Linked DNA regions of Neurospora crassa OR74A. The protein of the gene in region 1 purifies or fractionates together with the protein of each later gene. This does not show direct contact. Links are inferred from orthologs where the notes say so. Each region holds a gene or a part of one and is shown in the gene's direction. Other genes may lie near its edges. The genes, in order: hat-2, NCU03464 and NCU04136.

Evidence for each region.
Region 2: the proteins of hat-2 (region 1) and NCU03464 purify together in Saccharomyces cerevisiae (affinity purification with mass spectrometry; 10 studies listed by BioGRID, with this or other methods). This does not show direct contact. The link is inferred for Neurospora crassa OR74A from reciprocal best matches to the Saccharomyces cerevisiae genes TAF1 and TAF13.
Region 3: the proteins of hat-2 (region 1) and NCU04136 purify together in Saccharomyces cerevisiae (affinity purification with mass spectrometry; 16 studies listed by BioGRID, with this or other methods). This does not show direct contact. The link is inferred for Neurospora crassa OR74A from reciprocal best matches to the Saccharomyces cerevisiae genes TAF1 and TAF5.

What each region holds. Positions count from the first base shown.
Region 1 is NC_026501.1:2,718,615-2,725,702, forward strand, and holds the start of hat-2 (histone acetyl transferase-2), read left to right. Parts: upstream 1-2,806; 5' UTR 2,807-3,183; coding exon 3,184-6,143; intron 6,144-6,199; coding exon 6,200-6,256; intron 6,257-6,318; coding exon 6,319-6,531; intron 6,532-6,591; coding exon 6,592-6,712; 3' UTR 6,713-7,088. Other genes in the region: NCU16368 (hypothetical protein), read right to left, coding at 1-146, 217-317, 404-1,134, 1,207-1,404. UniProt on the Saccharomyces cerevisiae protein: Functions as a component of the DNA-binding general transcription factor complex TFIID. Binding of TFIID to a promoter (with or without TATA element) is the initial step in pre-initiation complex (PIC) formation.
Region 2 is NC_026502.1:614,665-621,471, forward strand, and holds NCU03464 (transcription factor TFIID complex subunit Taf13), read left to right. Parts: upstream 1-3,127; 5' UTR 3,128-3,590; coding exon 3,591-3,651; intron 3,652-3,785; coding exon 3,786-4,372; 3' UTR 4,373-4,713; downstream 4,714-6,807. Other genes in the region: NCU03465 (hypothetical protein), read right to left, coding at 2,091-2,114, 2,190-2,271, 2,420-2,529, 2,613-2,615; NCU16511 (ADP-ribose 1''-phosphate phosphatase), read right to left, coding at 4,714-6,807. UniProt on the Saccharomyces cerevisiae protein: Functions as a component of the DNA-binding general transcription factor complex TFIID. Binding of TFIID to a promoter (with or without TATA element) is the initial step in pre-initiation complex (PIC) formation.
Region 3 is NC_026505.1:4,960,537-4,964,136, forward strand, and holds the start of NCU04136 (transcription initiation factor TFIID subunit), read left to right. Parts: upstream 1-1,057; 5' UTR 1,058-1,439; coding exon 1,440-1,631; intron 1,632-2,267; coding exon 2,268-2,450; intron 2,451-2,511; coding exon 2,512-3,317; intron 3,318-3,376; coding exon 3,377-3,600. Other genes in the region: NCU04135 (hypothetical protein), read right to left, coding at 1-468, 537-653. UniProt on the Saccharomyces cerevisiae protein: Functions as a component of both the DNA-binding general transcription initiation factor complex TFIID and the transcription coactivator SAGA complex.

The sequences.
Region 1 (7,088 bases):
CAGGGCGCCCCAGCCAGTGTACGGCTTGGCAGTCTCCTCGTTGTTGCTCGTTATCTTGTCTAGGCCCACGGGCTCGCGGCCAAGGGCCAGAGAGCCGGCATTGATGAGGGCTTCAGGCTTTGAGTTTTGACCGCGGGTCGGGTAGACTGTTGTTTTTGACAGGGGAAATTAGCTCTCCTGCAATGTTACGGGATCCATGGAGAGAGTTTTACATACCGGAGGCGACCTCGGCAACTACGCTGATGCCGATATCTTCTTCAGAAAGAAGACCGATGTGTCGTGCGTGAGTTGCGACCTGTTGGAGATCGAGGGTCGGGCTGAAAGATCCGTGTTAGCACAATGAGGCCACATGTACATAGAAGAAAAAAGTCAGCCAGCACCAGGGTGAAAAGGACCAACTCACTAAACACCAGCATGAATTTCAAGCACATATCCCTCCTTCTGCCAACCGCCCCACAACTCTTTAAGCTCCTCCTCAAATGGTCTCATGCTTCCCTGCGAGTTTGCCGTGGGCACATCGCACTCCCCCGTAAACCAAGGGCTCTGGATCGTCGTCGCCGTTGGCGTCGCACCTACCGATAACACCAGAGGAGCATGGTCCGGACTCTTTTCGCGAATCTTCATGGCAGCATTATGGGCGTGAATGAATTCAGCGTGAAGAACATGCATAGCATCTCCGAGCTTGCGAGCCCCGTAGCTCTGCCCGGCATGTGTATACAAGCCATGCAGCACCAACCATCCTTCCCGCTCAGCAGCCAGGAGGACGTCGACTAGAGATGGGTACTCGGGAGAGTCGGTCTTGACGCCGGCGCGGCCGTAGTTGACGTCGATTTTGATGAACACGCGGGGAGGGTGTCCTGAGGAAGTGTGGATGGCCTTGACGTAGGGGAGCTGATCGACGTGATCGATCATAACGGATAAGCCATCGGGGCCGAGCTGGGAAGAAACGGCGGCGAGACGGGGGACGGCGGATGCGAAGAGCGGGAAGGATAAGAGAACGTTGACATGGCGGTCTTTGGATTGGTACTCTTTGAGGAGGGGAGTGATATTTTCGGCTTCAAGGATGGTTGAGACGATTAGCAGGACGGGAATGGTGAGGTGGTTTCCGACTTGGAGGCGGGTGAGCTCTGTTGTCTATATGTTGTTTACAGTTGTCAGTGACAGTTTTGTTTTGTCGTTTTAATGGGTCATGATCCATTGTTGTACCTTGTGGGTCTTGATATGAGCTCTCCATTGCAGGCCAAGGTTTTCGGCTGCTTCGAGCATGCGCTCACAGTTCACCATGACCTGTTTAAGGTCAAGGACGACGCTGGGCGTAGGGACCTCGGACAGCTGCTTGCCGACGAACCTCGCCCTTAGAGCATCTTGCTTTTGCTTCAACTCTTCCATTACGGGGTTTGCCATGGTGAGCAGTGTGGTATTTTTGCCCTCGAAACTTCACTTGGTGTGCGAGGTAAAGAAAACGGTGCAAAAGGCGATGACGAAGCTGCTATGGTAGACGCAGTATGACTGTGGCCCACAATATCGGCTGATTTGTTACATTCTTTAAACCACCTAATCCAGTCATCTCAAGAAAGAGGAATAGTACCTCTAGTAGGTAAATGTAGCTTTGGCTTTACCGACAGCCTAGTACGTAACCATGGCTTCGGCCGTGGCTTTAACACAGTTTCCCACTGTACGTCAAAAACACCATTGGTAGTGAGTGTACTGTTGCTGAACTTCATGGCCCTGCCAGTTCGCAGGGTATAACATCCGAACTGTCATGCCAAAAACGGGCTGAGCACTGGTATGGGCGTGCGAGTGTGGTTGCAGAGAAATGAGAATCCAGAGAGACTGGAAATGACATCTCGCATCAGTTCAGGTGTGTTCTGCCCCCCACGTTGCGGGTGACATTGTGGCCATTTGGCCCGAACAGAGAGGGAGACGGGACTTAAGTTGCGCGTCACTCTACTGTTGTAAGAGATCAATTAATCAGTATTTGATTTCGCTCTCGATTCATGTCTCTTCGCCTCCAACGGGGTCCTATTCCTTCTGTACCTGCCGTTGATTTGGTTGTCACACAAGGCGGGGAAGCTTTAGTTCTTCCTCCATATTCTTTACTTTACCTGGATGGTACTTGTAAGTTGTAGGTGAGGTCGCATACCGTATAGACTCGGGGCGTTGGTTTTCAACTTTCTGGGAAATCAGGCCTAAGCTGTAAGCATACTGCAACATTCATGCCCACCAAAAATTCTATGCAAGACGGTGATTTTGAATGTCTCCACGCTCCAGCGCCCTTGAAAAGATAGGTGTTTTAAGGCAGGACATTGAAGAATCGAATTTACCGTGCTTCGGGGTGGCAACATGGAAGTCTCCTCCAATTAATTTTGTGGACATAAAATGCACATAATCGGGCAGCATGCTTACAGGTTATGCCTGATTTCCTAGGAAGTTGAAAATCAACGCCCCGAGTTTCCAGGTTGTACAGTTTAGGTATTAGGTACCTGGGCTACCTACCTCTACCTCTACCTGTACCTACCTACCTATTCCAGGTTCCTTACCAGATTCCCAAAGCAAGTTCCAGGTTCAACGCTACCTAGGTATTATGCTTCAAGACCAGGGACAGTGTGCGCGAGCCATTCACTGCACTTAGCGTCCCCCAGTCACTGCCCTGGGGCTGCTCGCTAGGTATCTAGAATAGGTAGGTACCTAGGTAGGCTGTCACACGGCTGCCAGACCCGGGCCCGGTCAACGGACCCACTTAGAGGTACCTAGAGTAGCCGTGCAGTGGCCCCGACAGGCCGATTCGTTGTTCGCATTCAAGCACGCTTGCACTCCGCGCAGTGGCAGTGTGCTTCCTTGCTTGTGGGAGGTTCAACACTTTTGCAACTTCCGCTAGGTACCGTTGCAACCTCAACGTCAACCTCACCCTCGACTCACCCGACGGCCATTTCGACTCTGCCACAACCACGACCCAAAATTGCATGCGGCGTTGCCAACACCCCACCAACACCGAACGCGCGCTTGGTTCACTTTGCTCCCCCGCCGCGGGCATTCTCGACGATTTCTCCGCTCCAGGATCATGATCTGACAGCTTAACCGGCCGCGCAACCGTTGGAGGGAGCAAGAGAGAGACGGGCGGACGACTGCGCGACAGACGACAACACACAGCGTTGAGGCGGCATCGCCTCTCCGCCCGGCAAGATGCCCGCAGACAACGACGACTTTGATTTCAACGCCCTCAATGAGGAAGGATGGAAGGAGCAGGAGGCCCGCGATGAGGAAGCCATTCGCCAGATCAACAACAGCTTCGGCCCGGGTGGTAACGATGGTCTGACTGAAATGCTGGGGAACCTCCAGTCGGGAGGCGAGATCGATCAACGAGGCAAGGCAGACGATGCCATCGACTTTGAGGACATCGACTTGAGCGACGAGGACGAGCTACCCAACGACGAACCGAGCACTTCCGGCACCAGTGGCGAGCTGCCAAGCCTCATCGACGACGCCGGCACTAATGATGACGACGACCTCTTTGGTGGCGACCCCTCATCGCCCATGGACACAGCTCACGATGGCCTGAGATCCTCTCCCCCGCCGCTCGACGTCCATGACGATGTTGATGCCAAAAAACGTCCGGATGCTGCCGCCGGGGAGTCCCTTGAAGACCTCCGGAACCTCAACTTCGACAATGACGAAGAGCCGCATGCGACAAATCAAGATCCCGACATTCCTCCGCCAGCGGAAAACTTCATCGACGCCGTCAAGCAACTATTCCCCGGTTTTGAGGAAAACGCCATCCTGCATTGGAACGAACTATTGAAGCCCAAGAATGCCACATGGATCTCAAAAAAGCCCCCCAAAGCTCCCAAGCCCTTGATACCATCAAAACTCAGTCTGGAGTTGGATGCCGATCAGGAAAAGCAGTTCCGGATTCCGGGCCCTGCCACTGGCTCCGTTTGGCAGAGGATTAAGGAAGCGGAAGCGAGAGGTCTGTTCTGTCTCGAAGAGCCAGAGCCTTTGGAACAAACCGATCTGGAAGTATTCAGCTTGGACGACGAAACGGATTCGGAGAGGATAGGTGGATATACCCTCCAGGACATAGCTACGATATGTCAGGACTGGGAACAGATGATTTTCTTGGGCGACAGTCTTGCGGCTGCCATCGAGCCGGGACCGCAGCCGAAACCTGACAACATGCTCATTAAGGATGAGCCTGATGAAGAGGCGGACTGGGATGCCATGTTCCTCGATGAGCCTGCTCAAAAGCGGAGAAAGATCGAAATTCCTAAAGGTCTTCCTCCTATTGCTCACTTCACGGCTCCAAATTTGGACGAATTCGAGCAGGTCACTTCGAAATTGGGCAAGCGTGTCATCCTTGACATGAACGACCCTTATTTGCTGATAGACGACGTCGAATCTGAGCGGTCATCTAAGCGGCGAAAGACCCAACATAAAACGGTCCGCTTGGCGAATGGGAAAGCTGGGCGGGACCTTATACAGCGGTTCAATTTCTCCTCTGACGCTGCTTACGACGCGTTGAAGGAGAACAGCCAGAATAGGGTTCGGGCCACGTTGGCTACTATCCCTGTCGAGCACAGTTTGCCTGCGCAGAGACTGTCTTGGCCTTACTACCGCGTCAAGCTCGCGGCCAGTGACCCTCATAGTTATCACCGGCCTCAGCTCCACCCTAAGAAGGATCTGCAGTATCTCATCAGGTTCGACAAGCCTGCCATTATCAAGCGCAAGACTCTCAAGGGTAAACGCGTCAGCGAGGTATTTAAGAGTACTCATGACCTCTCCCTCAACGACAACTCGACCGCTATCCTTTTCGAGTACTGCGAGGAAATTCCCACCGTTCTCTCCAACTTTGGCATGGGACAGAAAATCATTAATTACTTCCGTCGAGCTAAAGGCGCTGATAGCAGACCTGAGAAGCGTGAGCTTGGCGAGACTTGTATATTGATGCCAGAAGATCGCTCACCCTTCGCCATCTTCGGTCACGTCCACCCTGGCGAGGTCGTGCCTACTCTTCACAACCACATGTTCCGCGCCCCTATTTTCAAGCATAACCCGAGGAATACAGACTTCCTGATTGGTCGTAGCAGTACCGGCCAAAAAGGCTCAACTTGGTACATCAGAAATATCGATCATCTTTACGTTGTCGGCCAAACCCTGCCCTCCATGGAAGTCCCAGGGCCCCATTCCAGACGTGTTACAAACATTGCCAAGAATCGTCTCAAGATGGTCTCGTATCGCCTACTTCGCAAGAGCGAGCATGTTACCCTCCATGATATTACTAAGCATGTAGCTGAGTCCAACGAGTCTCAGAATCGTCAAAAGTTGAAGGAGTTCCTGCGCTTTAGAAAGGAAACAAAAGATTGGGCGCTGCCCGAAGGCGAAGAGCTAATGGCCGAACCGGCCATTCGATCTCTTGTTAGGCCGGAAGAGGTCTGCCTATTGGACGCCATGCAAGTGGGCTTGCACGAGATCGAGAAGGGTGGTTATGATGCTACCGATTCCCTCAAGGACGATGACATTGGGGTTGATGTGAACGATGAGCTCTCTCCAGATGCTCTTGCCAACAAGATGGCGCCTTGGAAGACTACCAAGGCATTTCTTGACGCCAGTCATGGCAAGGCTATGCTTGCAGTTCATGGCGCCGGCGACCCGACGGGCAAGGGACTGGGCATCAGTTTCCTGAGGACGTCCATGAAAGGCGGCTATCTTGAGCAGCTCCAAGGACCAATGGCCACATCAGCAGATGCCATAGAGAGGCAGCGCAAAGCGAACGGTGGGCACATGTACAACGTCAAGAACCAGGACACACTCTACACCGAGGCTCTTACCGATATCTGGAACCGCCAGCGGGAGAGTCTCTTGGATTCCCAAGAGCACGATGATGAAGATGTGCTTGGGCAAGAGGATGAAGACGAGCGTTTCAACGTACAGGGCAGCCAATTCGCGCAAACCCCTGTGGTCCAGGACGGTTTTAGTCAGATTAGCCAGAGCGCCACCAGTGCTATTAACCGGAAGAAGCTCGTGATCACAAGAGAGGTGAGGGATGAAAATGGCCAAACACGGACTGTGACAGAGGTCGTAAGGGACCCTGCTGTCATTGCTCAGTACGTCAAGAGGCGTCGCCAAGAGCAAAAGTCCGAGATTGAGTAGGTTCCCTCCCATAAGCACTTGAAGAAGAACCAATGACTGACTTTATTCGCAGTATCTACAATGTTAAGATGACCGGCGACCAAGAGCGGGACGCCGTTATTCTCGAGCTGTTGGTCACCCTCTACGCATTGTACTTGAAAGAAAGGGCCGCACACTGACATTGCTCTTTAGGCTCGAGAAGGAACATGATCGTCTCATGAAGAATAAAATGAGAACAATGAAGCGCGAGAGACAGAAACAACTACAACAGCGCCTCAAGAGTGGAGGAACTCTACCCCTCGATAACGACGACGGGTCGTTAGAGCCCTCGATTGAGAAAGCCACTGGAACCACTCGCAGATGCGCAAATTGTGGGGCCAAGGGCCATATCAAGACAAACAAAAAGTAAGTTGTCCGCACATTATGCTCCGTCGGTTTTCACTCTTTTTAACCCTGACATTCTAGGCTCTGCCCGTTGCTCAACGGTTCGATGACCAAAGACCAGACTCAGGACGATGGCGCCTCTGGTGTCGGCTCGCCCAACCCGAACGCGCCGGTCGCTGCTAGTTTCATGACTCCTAGCTAGTAAGGTTGTGGTGGTTATTGATATCGCTGGTTCTGGTGTTTCAACCTGGAGCTAGCCGGGAAAAAAAAGTCACATTGACTGCCTTCTTTCATACGGGTTGGTTCCCATATAACTTGGTTGGCCATGACGAGGTATACGGCGAGGCAAATTGGGCAGTATATTGCCTGGCGTGGTTGGTGTTCCGCCCTGTATAACAATGGACAAGAGCAGTGGCGCTTTTTGCTTTTGGTGGTTGGCGTTTTACGGTTGGCGAAAATACGACGGTATCACATCTCACATTTCACATCATATCGCCATTGTTCTTTTCGTCCCTTGTTGACCGGCTCGAACGCCATTATATTAGGTTTCACGGTTTCGTCTAAGGAATGCGTTTAAT
Region 2 (6,807 bases), on another chromosome or scaffold:
GAGGTGAGAAGAGGTACCTGCTGCTGTTCTTGCCTTGCCTACTAATATCGATCGATGTCCTTTATCAATGTACTTACTGGCTGATTTTCATGCTCGTTCCTTCTTCTTCTTCTTCTTCTTCTTCTTCTTCTTCAGCATTTTTACGCATCACATAGGTCTAGGTGCAATGCCGGTATTGTTTTGACATTAGGAAAACGCACGCCTGTCTTTTTTTACCTGGAGGCAGTCCAGTATGGCCTTTTGGGACTTTGGGACTTTGGGACTTTTGGGTATAATTGAAGCGGGTGAGATTACTTAAGGTATTTAGGGTACTTAGTAAGTAGTAAAAGGAGAAGAGAAAAGACCGCGCTATTCGTGTAGTGTAACAGCGAGATCATGTCGACGTTCAACTGCGAGTATCGAATGTATCTTTGCTTCAATATATTGTATCCAGATCCAACCACCAACTCCTGGGATTGAGTGTCTGAGACAACACACAAACTGAAAGGCATTTAGCAAACCGATTACTCTTTCATTTTCCGCGACAGGGACATAGACACGGTAGAAAATTACGCTCTTGATCGTTCGTCGTCTATAACAAAAAGAACAGGAGAAAACAAAAACAAAGACCGAGAAACATACAACACCAGGGATTCGCTGGTCGTCACCGACCCAACTACTAGTCTGGCCCTCACTGGCTTATCTATGGGAGAGCGGACGGGATCCCGAGTTTTCCAGTGGGTATGGTCGTATGTGCTTGTTTCGGGCTGTTCTTGGACTTATATGAGAGAGCTCCTCTGGTCATAGATGCCGGAATGACTCGAGCCTCTTCCACACAATAAACAAAGAAATCGGCAAGTGAGAGATCTATGATAGTGAGGAGAGTAGAGAAAGCGAGGGTTATGAAGAAAGAAACATAATGGATGGCTTGCTTTGTACGAACGCAAAGTGACAACGTCAAGTAAGGCGGTCATCACCTGCTTCCCTTTTGCAGGTGGCCAAGGAAGTGCACAACATAGTCTGGGATCACCAACCGTAGAACCTTGGGGAGAAAAGAAGTTACGAGGAAAGGACATCCGCGAGCAAAAAGAACACGTGAACAGCCTCATTTCGATCTAACATTCTTTGTCGCGGAGAAGTTACATCAGCAGCCATGACCGGAACAAGTCGCCGAAGAGGACACATTTTTTTTGCAGACACCCTGTTTAGCTACCAACCTTGGACATTGGGGGTCTTGAATGCATCATTGTCTCTTCATTTGGTCTCTCAAAGAAAGGGATATGGCGCGGTGATCGTCTAGGACATCCCGCCCAAGTCTAATGAAGGATCCGCAACCTTGATAGTCTAGCCGCAGCCTGTTGAGAACCATACCAGAACCTTCTTGAACTGACCGAAGGCCAGGTGTTTAGCTACCTCGTGACCGTGCTCAACCCAGCAAGCCAGACACAAAAACCGGTGACCGCTACAAGAGCGTGGAACCCTCTGCGATGTTGGCCAGGCGAAACCAGTTTGATGCCATGTGATCCACTAGTGATATCTCAGCCACGATGATCCCATATCTCTTTTCGTACTGTCGAGCCTTGCCCAGTCGTCTAGAACAGTCGTAAACCGGCAATCCGAAGCTCAGCTCGCTCGGGTCCCATCTCGGTAAAATCATGGAGTCCAGCATTGTCGATAGGGCGTCCGCTGCTTCCAAGTCCCACAAAGACCCTGTCGATCTCGCTTTACCGAGAGGGATTGGCCGGGTGTGCTGAGTTCTGGGCGTCGATAGTCGCAAAGTGTCGGTGTCCCCGAGCACGCCAGATCGTCATCTCCAGTGCTGTCCTCCATTGCCTGATTGCCATCCGCCTGTTTCACTTTGAAGTACTTCCTTTGAATTTGTCGGCCTTGTTGTCCCGCGTCCAGAAAACTGTCTATCCTTATGTCGCCGGGGCTGTCGCTTTCTCCGATGCTCTTCTCTCCATTTTTTTTCCTTTTAGTGGAAACCCAGTGTGAACATATACTCCTGCAACTCCAAAGTTATGATTAAAAGGCGCAGTACCACGTAGTTGACAAGCGCCAAGCATTATAAAAACGTGTATTCGTGTCGAGGTAACAAGGGAAAGAATGATTTAGTTGCCAACAAGCATGGAGAACTATTCAACATATCTTATTAGTCTCTTTGGTCTAGAACAGACAGTGGATTGTGTGGAACAAACGGGAAAACATACCGCCATGAAGATACAACATATGCTAACATACGGACTCAGCCGCTCGCCTATCCTTGCGCACTTCCAGAAGATGCCCATCAAGCTGTTCATTTTTCATGTCAGCACGTCGTTCCGTTGACCAGTCCCTGTGTATCTTTTGTCTCTCCTAAAACCCGCCCTGTTTTCAAACTTTATGCGGTGTCGAGGCAGAAGAGACAGGTCCATCGCCAAAAAGGGGAAAGGCAACTCACCCATCCTTGTTCCGGTCGAGGATCGCGGGGAACATCTGATGTATGTATGTCGAGGTGCAGACGAGGAGGATGATGACTAGAAGGAGGGATTGGAAGTTGAAGAGCGCGGTCTGTGAAGATCATCAAAGTGGTTAGCGATGATGTGATGGGATGCAATGGGAGGTGATGCGCCATGACGTTGCGGGTGACATACCATGGTGGGCGCTTTGATATGATGAGGCTGTCGGGGAAAAGAAATTCTCGTTATTTGGAGACGCGTCCAGGTCTCGTCGCTCGCTCGTCGTCCTTGCCGTGGATATCGCGGGTGGAGGTGTCGTAAACTTGCCGTGTTGGTGGTTACGTAGGTGTAGTCAGTGGTGATTGTGGAGGCCAGGGTGTCATAGCTCCTTCCACGGCTTCCAGGGCAAAAGAGGCCCGCGAGGCTGCGAAATGCCACACTGAACTTTCAGCGTTGTTAGGGGTGCCGCTCAGCAGTCTCACGCCCCGGGGCGCGCACAGCTTCAGCTCTTCCATTGTGGTTCGCTCTTAAGTGGAAGTGGAATGGATGTGACTGGAAGCTGATTGGTCATTGGACTCCATACCCGTCTTGTGGAGCCACGGTTACACAAGGCAGGGGTTCCTGGCGCCGTTGGGGGGCCTGGGGGCCTTGGGGGCCTTTCTTAGTCCCGTTTGGCATTTCGGAGCCTCATTGTTGATCGATCCATCATCGTCATCGTTTTCAACTTCGAACCCGTCCTCCGACAAGACGCCTAAGTTGGGACATATGCCGCCGGGCTGGACGCTCTTTTCAATCAACTAACTAGACAGCTATCGTACAGCCTACCAGTTTCGCTCGATTAATCCAGCGCTGCATCATCCTCTCAGTCGTCAAACATTTGCGCTCCCTCACCACTTAACGCGACAAGGCTGATCGAGCTCTCGACCCCGCGCAACTCGAAGCTCTAAATCGCACCAGCCTTCGACGTTGAGCTTCTAGGTCTGCTCAACTGAGCCTCTGAGCCCGTCGATAAATTCAGCCTTCTACTCGGTTCCTATCCAAACCTTCCTCGTTTGCAACGCATCTCTACTGCGAACCGCAACCTCAATCCTCCATCCACCTCCATCCACCTCACCTTCGTCCATCACCATCCTCACACTTCGGGGCCTCAAGCCCACCCACCCCCAGCCCACCATGGAACCCCGCGCCCGCGCCGGCAAAAATGTCGGCAAAATGAATTTTAACCACAACGAACGTACGTCTCTTCTTTTTCCCACTCCCCATTTTTCCCCTCCTCCCCATTCCCCCCCCCTCTTCCCCCCTCCCCATTTCCCCCCTCTTTTCATCCCCCACCTAGACTAACCCCCCCTCTTTTTTGCATCGCAACAGTAGCCCAACTCCTCTACGGCCACGGCGACCTCAAGAACCCCCTGCCCGAAACCGTGCGCGTGCTCGACGAGCTCATCACCGACTTCATCCAGGGCGTCGGCTTCGAAGCCACGCGCGCCGCCCACCACGCCGGCCGACAAAAAGTCAAGTTTGAAGATTTCGAGTTTGCCATGCGCCGGAACCCGCGGTTCATGGGCAAGATCCAGGAGGTGTTTGAGAAGAAAAAAGAGATCGAGGCGGCGCGCAAGAATTTCAACATTGAGGATCAGTTGATGAAGGATGCGGATAAGGAGGAGAAGGAGAAGGAAAAGAAGGGGGGTAGTGCTGACAAAGGAGACAAGGAGAAGGGGGAGAAAGGGGAGAAAGAGAAAGAAAAGGGAGGGGAGAAAGGAGGAGGAGGAGGAGAAAAGGAAAAGGAAAAGGGACCGGGAAGTACTGTCTCGGGATCGGGGTCGGGTTTAGGTTCCGGCGGTGGCGGGACAAAGAGGAAGAGACAGCAGAGTGTGTTGGAGGATGAAGAGTTGGATGAGTTGGATGATGATTTGGAGGCCGAGGCGGATATTGGCACGGCGACGAAGAGGAGGTAGGATCTCCTTGGGTGGAACCGTCGTCGCTGAGAGTATTTCGTTTTGGTTGGTTCCGGGTTTTGGCCAAGTTGGTCTGTGATTTGGGAAGAAAAGGGGACGACGGCATGGCATTATTTCGTTTTGATAATATGCATAGCGAGGCGTTAAGGGACATGGATACGGTTAGGTTGGTCAAGCATGGGGATTATTGCCTTGAACGGGCTATGAGCTTAGGAAGTTCTATCACTCTTGACACAATAGCTTCCTTTTACAGTAGCCGTATCAACATTACTCTTCATACCAGCCCTTTATTAAACCCATCTCTCTCGCTTCGCAAGAAGTGCCCAGGACCTATTTTCCCGTTACTTTCCATTCCCATTTCTCTGTCCCTTCCCCTTCCCCTTTCCCTTCCCCCCCTTCCCTTTCTCCCCCTCAATGGCACTAACCCCCTCAAAAACCATAATCTCCCCTTTCCCAGGCAACATTCCCTCCGGCACTCTAACCTCCACCTTCTCCAAGACCTCCTTGGTCATCTCCCACTCCACCGCAGACTTGCCCGCATCAATCCTAGGCATCCTCATCTCCGGACCAATCACCATATTCATACTCTTCTTCTTCTTCGTAGCAGTCGCATTCACATTCACATTCACATTCCACTCCGCAACCTGCCTCATCAAATCCTCCATCGCCTTCCCTGTCGCTTTCATCATCGCCACCGCCGGATCTCTATACGGGCCATACCCAAGACTGGTAAAAAGACACCCGACAAAGTGCTTCTTGTCGTCCGGAACAGAGGGACGCGGCGGGATGAGCAGTGCCGTGCCGACTAAGCTGCGCTGGTGCTTGGCCAAAGCGTTTTTGCGGGCTTGGATGGGGTCGACGGACTCGGCGGCTTCTTCTTGGTCTTGAAGGAGATTGTTGGTTTGTGAGGAGGTGGACGTGGATGTGATGGGGATGGAAGAGCAGTGCGCCTGGTAGGCTTTGTAGGCTCCGGGGTAGTGAGTGCGGAAAATCCTGGCTATGCCGGTGCCCCAGTCGCCTTGGGCGTTACAGGCGTGGATGAGGAGGGAGCCAGGAGGGGGTGCGGGGGAGAAGATGTCGGAGGAGTTGGCGTGGGGGATGAGGGTGAGGCGGTGGGTGGTGAGGGGTGGTGGTGGTTTTTGTTGTTGTTGTGGTTGTTTGGTTGATGTTGCTGCTTTTGCTTGTGATGATGCGGATGTCGTCTTCGTCTTTGGTTCTGCTTTTCGCGCCTCCCGTGTTCGCGTCTCTGCTGTCGTCTCTGCTACACCCGGCGACGACAACCCCAAGGACCTCAACACCACACTCCCACCGTTGATGATCATATCATTTCCCACCTTCCAGCCACCCAAATCCTCTTGGTGTTCCAACGCACTGGGACCAAACTTGCGACCTTTCTTAAGACTGAACGTGAAATACGACGGAACCTTCTTTTCGACTGTTCCCATTGGTTCAGCTTTCTTCTCAGATTTCACTTTCCCATCGCCACCATCTTTCAAGCCATTGTTTTCCTGAGTCTGCTGAGTCCGCTGAACCTGCTGAGCCTGCTGATTCTTTTGATCCTGCTGATTCTTTTGACTCTGCTGAACGTGCTGAGCTTGCTGAACCCGCTGAACCTGCTGAACCTGCTGAACCCGCTGAACCTGCTGAACCTGTTGAGACTGCTCATCCTGCTGAGTCTGCTCACTCTGCTGATTCTTCACTCTCCCACTTCCACTTCCACTTCCACCAGCACCAGCAGCACGATTACGCCTAACGGCAGCCCATCCACCCATATGAGCAAGAATGCTCCCGCGGTTCTTGCTTCCCTCGCGGCTCTCAAGTCTCCGAATTCTTACGCCCCCAGTACCTTCAGCACCTTCAACACTACCACCAACACCACCACCACTATTACTGACCTCAGCGAGGCCAAAGTCCGCCACCTTGGGTTCCTCCAGTACTGTTTTCCTGTTTCTTGGTTTCTGTCCCTGTTCCGTGCCATTCAACCCATTATCACCGTTCTGTACTTCCTCCTGTGCCGCTGGCATGTCCGAGACTGTGGAGGGATCTTGATCCATTAGTAGCGGATGTGTCCGTGCTAATATCGCTTGCTGACGTTGCTGACGTTGCTGACGTTGGTGCTGTTGGTGCTGTTGGTGCTGTTGTCCCTGAATCTGTCTCACTTGCTGTTGCTGATGTTGCTGATATTGCTGTTGCTGCTGGTATTGTTGATGCTGATGCCGATACTCCTCCCTCCCCACCGCCAGTTGATGATACCCCCTCTGCTGCTGCTGTTGTCGATACCCCCCATATTGTTGTCGGTGCCCCTTTTGCTTGGTGCTATGCAGCCCAATAGTATTCACCTTAGTATCCCACGCAATTTGCTGTTGCTGGTGCTGTTGCTGTCGTTGTTGCTGCCCTGCTCCGTTCACTTTCATATCCACATCCACTTTGACTTG
Region 3 (3,600 bases), on another chromosome or scaffold:
CCCCACACCGTCCGGGTCCAGTCGTGCCACCACGGGCCGCACCCACTTGGCGCCGCGGTGCGTCTCGATCTTGGCTGGGCGCGTGAGTTCGCCGGGGTTTTTGGGTGCAGAAGCGGCCGCGTAACCGCCGGGTTTGTTGGAAGCACTGGGTTCGCCTGGACCGCCGGTACCGTCGTCGTCGGGGTTGTTGGGGTTGGAGTTGGAGGAGGAAGAGCGGAGGTTGATGATGCCTGCTTCTTCCATGGCGTAGATTTGTCGACGGAGTTGCTTGTCGACGCGGTCGAGGGTGGAGAGGAAGGTGGATTGGATTTGGGTGAAGCGGGTTGTAGCGTCTTCTTGGTCTTGTTCTTCTTGTTGTTGTTTTTGTTGTTCGGCTTCGGTTTGGTTCTGGGTGTCGGATGATGTGGGTGGTGGGGAGGCGAGGCAGCGGAGGGCGTTGGAGGTTAGTTCGAGAAGGGAGACGATGTCCTTTTTTTTTTTTGGAGAGGAGGAGGTTAGTTGGAGGAATATGGAAATGGTGGAAGGAGGTAACGTACATTGTCGATGTTGCTGAGTTGCTGAATGTGCTCGGCGGTTGTAAAGGGTTCGTGGATGTCGATGTCCATTTGGGATTGGAGCTGTAGTTGCCCTTGGGGTTGGGCGTTGTTATCCATGCTGATGTGAAGTTGTCGAATCGATGGGCTGATGCTTATGCGTATGGAATTATCGGTAGATATATATTGTAGTGAGTCCAATTGGGTGGTTTGTGATTTTATGTCGCTGCTGTCAACTTCTTGATGCGCCTGTTGGTGGTTTGGTTGTGTTTTGTATTTTCGGGACAAGGAGGCTGAAGAGGTTCTGGAAGCTCCCCCACCTGTCAATTGAGTTAAGGTTGGGTGCTGAATGGCCGGTGTGGACCTTGACGGACAACATGAACGAAACGTGGGGTAAATTCCGGGACCTGCAAGTGCCAAGGTCCAGCGTGCCTGCAGCAAAGCACGGATCAGGCGCTAGACAGACGCGCTAAATGGTCCACTGTTCGACTGTTCGCGACGTCCTCGCTCGGCAAATGCCGTCCTTCCACTTCCACTTGGACGGGCACTGACCTGGACCTCGTCATCTCCGTCTTTTCTTGAGCCTCATTATCAATCTCGCCCTTTCCCGTAAAACAGACGCTATCATTATACAGGCAGCCAAGATCGTTCTCGAAGTCAGAGTATACCCATTACGAACGAACTATATAGCACCGGATTCACAGGAGCTGGATCAAGACTCTACCATCATCTGCCACACGCGTCGACGTCCTCCTCATCCTTTACCACCCACTTACTAAGAAAGCCACATCGATACAACAAGAACCATACACGCCACCGGAGTCATTGAGGCTCGATTTTGCACCTGTTGTATAGACAAAGCATACGATATACGTAGCCGTTCGAGAAAAAGGCATCTCACACATCATGTCCAATCCCCCACCAGCAAACACCGGCCAGGCGCCGGGAGGGGCCACATATGGCGGTGGCCAACAACATCAACAACCTCAGTCTACTACTGGTGGTGCGCCAACGACGGGAGGCACAGGAGGAACAGGAGCTGCAGGGACGACCTCGACGAGCAGTACGGCGCCCACACCTCAGAATTTGAATCAGATAGTGAGTCCTTGTTGAGTGTTTGATTCCACCTGCCCCATGTTTTACCTATCAATGTTTTATAGCCTTGTTCAAGATGTACCAGCTCATGGAATTTCTATGAGCTTCATCTCTCCTCGCTTCCTTCTGCCCCTCCTCTTTCTACAGAACCTCTACATGTACAAGTACAAGTCATGAACTTTCCCAACCATCACCGTATTTCTTTTTGTTTTTTTGTTTCTTCATAATGGGCAGGCACACGGCATGTTGGCCGGCCGTGCCTTGGCGCTCATTCATATTCATGGGGCTTCCCATAAAGTTCATTTCAGATTCACTTCAGATTTCGTTCACCAGCACACCCGTCTAGTAACTCTAAGTTGCCTGGTTTACGTTTTTTCTCCTTCGTTACTACTACAGAATCAAGCTCATTATCATCGTCACATCACAACACAACACATCATCTCTTTTCGCTTTCCCCTGCCCTCAACATTTTGGTAACTTGCGGTAACGAGAAAACATTACGTCTATCCATATCTAATCATGACTCCACGATTTGCCCATCACTCGCCTCCTCCACATTCGCCTCTCCGCTTTTCTCATCTGCCGACCCAAGCTGTGATGGAGCTCTATCGTGTTAAACATCCAACTAACGACGCACAGGTTACGGATTACCTTAAGAAGAAAGGGTTCACCAAGACCGAAGCCGTTTTCCGTCAAGAAACAGCCCACCTCGGGCCTGACGGCAGGCCCGCGCAGCGTAACGAGGAGAACGGACCGCGAAAGTACTTAAAGGCGTTCATCTTGCTCCGAGATTGGATCGAGAATAATTTGGACATCTACAAGGTAAGAGACGACGAAGGCGAGCATCCAAATGATCCGTGGCAGTGATGCTGACAAGCAATAGTTCGAGCTAAGGAAGCTCTTGTGGCCTGTCTTCGTTTACTCCTACATCGAGCTCGTTTCCACGGGGTATGTGGAAGAAGCAAAGCACTACCTGGCAACACTACGACCTCATTTTGACGCTGTCCATCGTGAGGCGTTAGACCTGTTTACGACTGTCACCCTTCCACAACATATTCGCGAAAACCAAACAATCAAACTCTACCGAGAGAACAAGTATCGAATCCCGCTCAACCAGTCACTTTCTGGCAACCTCTTCCACTTTCTCGAGCGCGAGGCGGATGCTGGCGGCTCAACAATCACATTTATCCTCCAAACCTTCTGCCAGGTAGACGTCAGCGCAAGGGGGCCCATTGAGCCATTCAGCTTTGAGGCTATCTACCGACGAGCTCATAATCTAGATCTTGATGAGATTGACCAGCTCGAAGGCATTCCTGGTGTTTTCACCGGTGTTACAAACAGAGACGTTCTCGACTCATCAGCACCGCTGAAGCTCGGCCCTCTTCCAATGGAACCTGAATTGCGAGAAGACGTACGCGCAGAACTTGAGGACGAGGACCAGCGACATCCACCTGTAGAGGGCAGGTCTACACTCGTGGAGGAGTTCGACCAGCGGATCAAGCGAGAAGAGAGTGCCGACGCTCCCTCGAGAACAGACCTCCCTCTTCCACCATCTCGAGCCAGGGACGTCGTAATGGAGATGCAAAAAGTTCGAGAAAATCGGGACCGGTTCAAGATAGAGGGTCGGACTGGCGGTGCGGGTGTTCCTGTCTCGGCCTGCATGTTCACGTTCCATAACAGCTTGGGGAGGTAAGTTTTCGCACATGTTCTTCGGTGCGGCTCTATCATGCTGACTATTTTCTTCTTAGCGTTTCATGTATGGACTTTTCCAACGATCACGAGCTCGTGGCTGTCGGAACTATGGACTCTTATATCCGCGTCTGGTCTATGAACGGAAAGCCATTAAGATCATCTGTAGCCAGCGAGAAGGATCTACAAGTCAACAACCGGAAGCTGATCGGCCACTCCGGTCCGGTCTACGGCGTGTCTTTCTCGGATTCCATTGCCAACCTGGACCGTAATGTCTTCCCGG